Linked DNA regions of Bombyx mori. The protein of the gene in region 1 purifies or fractionates together with the protein of each later gene. This does not show direct contact. Links are inferred from orthologs where the notes say so. Each region holds a gene or a part of one and is shown on either strand. Other genes may lie near its edges. The genes, in order: Taf1 and transcription initiation factor TFIID subunit 6.

What was found.
Region 2: the proteins of Taf1 (region 1) and transcription initiation factor TFIID subunit 6 purify together in Drosophila melanogaster (affinity purification with western blotting; 3 studies listed by BioGRID, with this or other methods). This does not show direct contact. The link is inferred for Bombyx mori from reciprocal best matches to the Drosophila melanogaster genes Taf1 and Taf6.

Annotation. Positions count from the first base shown.
Region 1 is NC_085123.1:8,767,872-8,771,707, reverse strand, and holds part of Taf1 (transcription initiation factor TFIID subunit 1), read left to right. Parts: intron 1-368; coding exon 369-541; intron 542-2,006; coding exon 2,007-2,127; intron 2,128-2,569; coding exon 2,570-2,727; intron 2,728-3,091; coding exon 3,092-3,287; intron 3,288-3,836. UniProt on the Drosophila melanogaster protein: TFIID is a multimeric protein complex that plays a central role in mediating promoter responses to various activators and repressors. Largest component and core scaffold of the complex.
Region 2 is NC_085121.1:11,010,600-11,015,111, forward strand, and holds the start of transcription initiation factor TFIID subunit 6, read right to left. Parts: upstream 2,965-4,512; 5' UTR 2,544-2,964; intron 2,470-2,543; 5' UTR 2,456-2,469; coding exon 2,219-2,455; intron 2,101-2,218; coding exon 1,812-2,100; intron 1,485-1,811; coding exon 1,333-1,484; intron 641-1,332; coding exon 461-640; intron 1-460. Other genes in the region: E3 SUMO-protein ligase RanBP2, read left to right, coding at 3,565-3,633, 3,709-3,934. UniProt on the Drosophila melanogaster protein: TFIID is a multimeric protein complex that plays a central role in mediating promoter responses to various activators and repressors.

The DNA.
Region 1 (3,836 bases):
TTTACGGTGCTATATCTTAATAAACTTACTTAAAAATATATACATATCGACGCTTGAAAGGCAAACGTGACTAAGCGACAATGCGTGAACCTTACAGTAGACTAATTTAAAGTTGAAATACCTGAAAAAAATTCTATTTTAATGAATCTAGCTGTAGGATTGAAATGATTTTAATAGACCTAGAAATATATATTTTTTCCGCATCGAATATGGTTATTGCCTATCATTTATGTACAAAGCAGTTATTGTCGCTTAGTCACGTTTGCCTTTCAAGCGTCGATATATATACCATGTGAAAAATAAATACAATATAAGATAGACTTACATACTACGGTACAGCCAAACTTAATTATTTCATTGATGAACAGGACAACGGTCCCAAGCCACTGAAGTACGGTGAAGTAGCGTACGCTCACACGTCGCCGTTCCTCGGGATCCTGGCGCCGGGAGCCACGCAGCCGGTCGTCGAGAACAACATGTACAGAGCTCCTATATACGAACACACGTTGCCGCAGACTGACTTCATCATTATACGTACCAGGTACGTAATACTGTCTGATGTATATTTAAGCTTTTTTTCTACCTAAGCTGATGGTCGCGAGAGACCATTTCAGCGTAACCGGGCGAGTAGGCGAGCTCACGGGGCTCAAATCTGACATTGTTGCTAACACGAACTCTAGCAAGAGCCGTGCATAATCTACCACCGAATCGGAAACGCGATCCACTGAGAAGATCCGGCGAGAAACTCAGTAGGCTAATGTCGTCTGCTCTATAATGACTTTATAATGACCCTCAACGGTCCGGTGGAGGTAATCCCGGGCATTCCGCTATACGAGATTCATACAACATATTTTACAAATGAGATTTATGAAAAGTCCCCAATGGTTGGCATTGTTAATGTCCATGAGCAACGTGATAATAATAATAATACGCTCATTCTGTGAGCAGAGTTCTGTAAAAATTTCAGAAACCAATTTGGAAAAATAAATTTCCTCGAATCATAAAATTTTTTTGTACTAATAACAACAAAATGTAATTAATTACTGCTTAAAATACTAATAAATTTACTGAACACTAATGGTCTTATTTACAATGAGTTATCTGAGCAGTATCAGCCCGATATTAAAATACTGTCACATAGTTTTATCTATACTAATATATAAATCTACCGTGGTTTTTACGGATGTTCCGTTATAATTATTGAACTATGCATCCGATTGACTTGAAACTTGGTATCCATGTAGAAAATACATGTACTTAATGGATAGGCTAATATTTATATGAGTCTTGGACTCCCTAATAATAATGACAATAAATAATCTATATATTAATACGTGAAGCAAAAACTTTGTATCCCTTTTTACGAAAATTGCGCGGACGGAGGAGTATGAAATTTTCCACACTTATAGAGAATATAGAGAAGAAGTGCACAATGCTAATATTTTTTTAAAATAATGCATAAATGATACATTAAATCAATAAAGAAAACATTACACACACTACATACCATGTATTTGACGCACACACGCATGCATACTATTTATTGTCAAACTTTTGTTCTTGACGTCTGTTGTCAAATTGAGAATAGATTAAATATTGTTTGTCTTTGTTAATATTTTTTATAATGTAGTCTTGGCGAAATTTGTGATTATAAAAGTATAAAATAGAATCATAATAGTGTACAAACTTACAATTCCAATTAATTATAGTCTAATTTCGACTACTGCGGGACCTCTAGTAATGTTAATTTTAAATGCCCAGCGAAGCAGGCGAGTATGGCTAGTTCCTTATATGTATAATGAGTAAAACTTTTTGAAGCTATTCTTATAACATACTTAATGAGCTCAGATAGTTTTTTATGAATCGGAATGCTAATTTTATGTTTTAAAACTAAATTATAACTGAGATAATTACTATACATACATATGAAGAGATCATTACTATCTATCTACTGAGATCATTACTATACATACATATGCATATGAAGTCTAATTATAAAATTTCAGACAAGCATATTATATACGTGAGATCGACGCTGTGTACGTTGCCGGACAAGAGTGTCCGCTGTATGAAGTCCCCGGACCAAATTCAAAGAGAGCTAACAATTTCGTTAGAGATTTCTTGCAGGTAAATATGGTTCTAAATATTGGAGACGGATCGACACTTTTATTTTGCCTACCTACTGCTAGTAGCCTAGATGGGAAATTCTGACTACTGGGTGTGTAGGCGAGATCACGGGAAACTTTGCTAACATCTGCTCTAGTAAGAGCAGTGCTTCGCTGACTCTACTACCGGATCGAAATTGCATTCTGCTAAGAGGATTCGGCGAGAAACTCACCGGGTTTAAGTTGCACGTCGAACTCTTTATCGATAACCGGTGCTCGGAATCCCCAAAAGGGATCCCCACCGATCAACAAACACTAATCTAATAGTATAGATAAATCTAAAAACGCCAATTCGTTTTTTTTTAAACGAAAAGAGTTTTTCATCGAAAGTTGAAACTCAATATTCAAGTCATAATAGCGTGAATGTTAAATATGAATAGTACTGAAAACATTACTTTTTTCAGGTGTTCATATACAGGCTATTTTGGAAATCTCGTGACAAGCCACGTCGTATAAAAATGGATGATATAAAGAGGGCGTTCCCGTCGCATTCTGAAAGTTCGATTAGAAAGAGATTGAAGCTATGCGCTGATTTTAAGCGTACCGGATTGGATTCGAATTGGTATGTCAGTTAGATAAATAATATAGAGAAAATGGACATTATATTTAATTTAATTTTTATTAAATCGCTTGGAAAATTATGTTCATTTTGGTTTTAAAAACATCTTAGAATTGTATTTTGTATTCAGGACACATGATATCAAGTTATAAAAGATTTTTATGGCTCAAGTATGTAGAATCTAAAAATAGTATAATCAAACGTAGACATTAGGATAAAATCATTTTGTACGAATAAAAAACCCGATGATAAAGGATTTACTTTGTCTCATTTACACATTATTGACCTTTATTTTTGACATTTTCACATTCAACCAATATGAAAACAATAAAATAATCAGCCAATAATAAGATGAAATATAACACAGGTGGGTGATAAAGCCGGATTTCCGTCTACCCTCCGAAGAAGAAATCCGAGCCATGGTGTCGCCCGAACAGTGCTGCGCCTACTTCAGTATGGCGGCCGCAGAACAAAGACTGAAAGACGCTGGCTACGGAGAAAAGTTCCTGTTTACCCCGCAAGAGGACGATGACGAGGAAATGCAGCTGAAGATAGATGATGAAGTGAGAAAACCTTTGTCGGAAACACCATATTTTTACTGGTGGTAGGACTTCGTGAGTCCGCGCGGGTAGGTACCACCACCCCGCCTATTTCTGCCGTGAAGCAGTAATGCGTTCAGTTTGAAGGGTGAGGCAGCCGTTATAACTATACTGAGACCTTAGAACTTATATCTTAAGGTGGGTGGCGCATTTATGTTGTAGATGTCTATGGACTCCAGTAACCACTTAACACCAAGTGGGCTGTGAGCTCGTGCACCCCTCTAAGCAATAAAAAAATAATAATCACTAACACTTCAATATTTAGATTAATTTTGTGTATTGCATTTTCACTTTTGATGTGATAAAGCGACAATATTGTAAAATTGTACACTTTTAATGCGTCTTCTCGCATTAAAAGTGTACAATTTCCAAAAATATTCAAAATTGAGTTAATATGCGGAATCATTTGATATCACCAGTATTTTTCTCATAAATACTGTCAAAAGAGTGTTGTTTAGTTTTCGTTTTTTTTTAGTTTACCTATATTTTGACTACAATTAACAAAATTAATAC
Region 2 (4,512 bases), on another chromosome or scaffold:
AATCTTGTATTATGTTCGGTTTTAATGAACTTCAATTAATTAGCTTTACTCCATTCAAATAGCTCAAGAAGTTTTTTTTATGATATTTTTTCCAAATTTTAAGCTTTAAATGGTTCTCCTCTGTAATGTTGCAAAAATGCTGCTTAAACCAAATTGCCTTTCACCCTTTGATATACATTCTTCTCGTTGACTAAACATAATGAAGATATACATTCTACTTTTATATTCATTAATTGAAGTAAAGACACTGCAATAAAAAGTGGAAAATCCCAACATGGATGTCATTCACATTGTGGAATATACAAACTTGCATGATCAAAGTGAATAAATAATGTAAGTACACATTTATTGAATTTGAAATTTAATGATTTTTATCTTGAGACTCAATTCACAGTTTCAACATTTGATAATGTGACGAAGGTTCTCCATAATTTTGTTATTAATAGGAATAACTACTCACATATTTTTCCAAATATAGTGACTGGTTATCAAGTAGTGCCTTAACCATTCGCATCAGGTAAATGAGAAGAGCCAGATTGTTTTGTACGACATTAACCTTCACACCTTCAGATATAAAAGTACACATTCTGGGCAACATCTCGTGTAGTCCTGGGTCACAAGCTAAGGACTGGAGCGCTTCCTGCAAGATGAAGAAATTTGTAAAGCAGAATACAAAATTATTTTTTTTCAATTATTTCAGATCTTTCACAAATAGAATAACATACATATAGGATATCTAAACCTATTAGAAAATTCTATACTTTGTAAAAAGTATGGTTGGTGATCTTTGCCACCAGTTATATATTTAGTGAGTTAGGTCTTGTTTAGACTACACTTGAACAGCAATGGAAATTTAAATATAGACATCTTTTGCTTAGATGTGTGGACGAGCTCACGCCCACCTGGTGTTAAGTGGTTACTGGAGCCCATAGACATTTACCAGAAATTGTTTTCATATAGTAAAAAATTTCTGCCGTGAAGCAGTAATGCGTTTCGGTTTGAAGGGTGGGGCAGCCGTTGTGACTATACTGAGACCTTAGAACTATATCTCAAGGTGTGTGGCGCATTTACGTTGTGGATGTCTATGGGCTCCAGTAACCACTTAACACCAGGTGGGCTGTGAGCTCGTCTACCCATCTAAGCAATATGGATATGGTTTTCCATAATAATATTGTGAAATAGTTTCTTTCAATATATCTACTATAAATATAATTATGTAATGTATTTAATGAGAAGATATGCAACTTTTTAAGATTCAATATTAAATGGAAGAAAAAATTATATGGTGTTCATTGTTTTTTTTTTTTTCTTTCTATCAGGGTAGTTACTTACAGCACGTCTTGTTTCATCACTGCCAACACAGGCTTCTGTGATTTCTTTATAATAGAGCTGCTGTTCAACACTCAATTCATGGGTAGCAAGCTGTTTAACATGCACAGATTCTGATGCTTTCAATCTTGCTGCTTTGCCACATATAGGTTTACCTGTAATATTTATATTTATAAAAAAATATTATCTTTCACACCCGCATAGAATCGCTTTTTTTTTAAATTGTAGCAGTGGTAAAAAAATGAGGTTATGATTCCAATGTTTATTCCTATACATATATTTGTGTCAAAATATCATTTGCAATAATCTCTTGAAAATACTAAATAACTTGTTACTTGTGTACTTTAATTCAGATAATTCAATCAGAATCCATATTAAGCCCTACCAATTATATTCTTCCAGTTTTGTATCTTTTCTACCATAAGTAAAATTAATTAAACCCTGTGATATTCCTATCAAAACAACTGTTATAGTTATCTAACCTGCAGAATCTTTATTGCTTGGTTTACTCAGTTTACTTATTGGATCAACAGATTCAAGTTTCTGAGCTTCTTTTGAAAGCGGTGGTGGATTTTCAGGTACTGTTGGTTGAACCCCATCCACACTTAGCCAATGTGCACGAACAGATACATCCAATGGAACCTTTGGGGGTGGTGCTGATAGGATCTCCGAAAGATCTATCTCTTTTTCTTCAATGAAATGGAGTTCTCTACCTCCTCCAGATGCGAACCTAAATGGCAGCGAATCAGGCTGAATAAATCCATATTGACACTAAAATGAATGAAATAATATAATGAATTAAAAAAAAATATTGTTAATTTATCATAGGAGACCATGGAACACTTAAAGCCATATTTAAATATTGCTTTAACTGCAGATATTAAAATACCTCATTGTTTTTTATCTTCAGGGCATGATCTATATCTGTAATGGAAAGTTTTTGTCTCTTTGAGTGATGCATGAACTTCATGGCATCTTGAACAATCACTTTCAAGCGATATGTAACATCATCAGCGAGTTCCTTAGCAGCGTCATCGCCAAGAGTGGCGATACCAACACTCTCTGCTATCACTTTCATGGAATCCAACGTTAACGAAGATCCATAAGCCAATTCTGAGTCGCCCATGATAGAAATTAAATCTATAAAAAAATAAGGTTGTGGTTTATGAAAGTTGTTAAAGTTCTCAATTCAATCAAAGGGAGCATATGAATACCTTTAAGATACGTTGACTACAGCATTAAACAATGATTTATCACCAAATTGGTTACGATTACGATAGACCCCTTGTATCACTGTATTCTTTGGGTTAATCTTTAATTTTTTATTCCTGCTTTTTTCTGATATTTTCCTGTTGTGATAAGGTAAAGTTAATTAATGTAGATAAGTAGGTAGGTATGTACCTGTGTACCCTAATTTATTTACTATTTGGATACAAGTAGACATTCTACCATAGATTTTTTTGGTACAACATATTCTTCTTCTTAGTTTTTGGATCCGGCACGTTTGTGCATTAGCCAGCGTCAAGTAATAAGATTTTTAGGAATCGCCGTTTTAAGTAGGTATTTACAGTTTACGAATAATAAAAAACGAAGGAAACTTAATCAATTGGCATGAAATGCTGCTTATGCTGCCCATGCTCTATTATTTGTCTTGAGTGTGAAAAAACTGGATGAAGCTATTTTATGCCAATACTATGGACATGTCACACCCAAAATTAAAACTACGGTCTCATGCCATAAGATGGGTGTAGATTATAATGTCTATGGGATCAAGTTGAGTGCATGAGCTAAGGATTGCGTAATTTATGATTTTTTTATTAAGCCAAGTAAATTTTATGACAACAAATAGAAACCATATTTTTTTACATTTTTAAGCATTGCTTTATAAAATTGTTCAGTAATGCATGCCACAGAAAAGTATTCCAGAAAATGAACAGTTATGAAACAAACATTTTTAAATTTGTGGTACATTTTGAGCTCATTTTTAGATCTAGCAATTTTTTGCTCTATAACTGACGACATATTGACTTTTGACGGCATTCCAATTTCTATTCGTTATTATTCATTTTGCCAACCATTTCAAAGAGAATAAAGGTAATCAATATAACCAACCATAGCTTCGCGTTCGATTACGGGCATTTGCAGCCTCATGCGCTTCAAGTTGTAATATTATTTTCAAAAGGTCTAGTTTTGTAAATAAGTGACTACTATCGGTTAGACGGAAAAATCGTTAAAATGTATAGAAATAAAAAAGACGTTGATAAGCACGTCGAAAATTTGCTGAACAAAATATCTTCGAGAGAGGTTGGTAGTTGGTGTTCAAATCAAGTATTACGCTTATTGACAAAGTTTTTACCATCGATATTTGGTTATTTTCAGTTTAAAAGTCGTGCTTATTCCATCGCTCGGTTGTATTTTGAAGTTGGCGATTTTGCGAATTGCCAAAAATATGTTGAGCAATATCTTACTCAAAAAGATAACAATGCAGCGGCTTATAAACTTCTCGGACAAGCTTTGCAGAAGATAGGACAAAAAGAAAAGGCTTTAGAACAATACAAAACTTCCCTGGACATTGACCCAGCCCAGACAAGCACTATTCTAGACAGTAAGTCTTACTAAAATAATATTTAATTTACAATTTATCATATAGCTACTTTACTAGGTTTGTTAATATTAAAACCAAAATCTTCTATTAAGCCATTTTTATGTGCAGTATTCTTATATATATTTATTTATATTTATGTGAAAATTATATTCTTAGTTATATTCTTTTTTTCTATCAGTAAGTGTGTTGGTGGTAGTACTATGATTAATTTATTTCCTTAGATGATTCTTGTCAGCTTGGAAGAGGTCATATTTAGTAATAAGACTGCATAAGCATAAGTACAATACATTGTTTGATTTTTTGTTTTTCTTTTGATTTTATATTGTTTTGCAATAAAGAATACTCTATTATTATCATGTATATAATAAACTACATAATATAATATTTTGTATGTTGTTAATAGGTATGTATTCATTTGTAGCTATTGTATAGTTTGAAGTTGTTATACCCGAAAAGATAAAATTCTTGAATGACTTCCACAATGCAGGAACACACTAACTTATAAAATCAACTAAAATTAGGTTTTGCTATACAAATGAGATATAGACCACAAGTCTTAAGATCTGGCCTCTCATGTC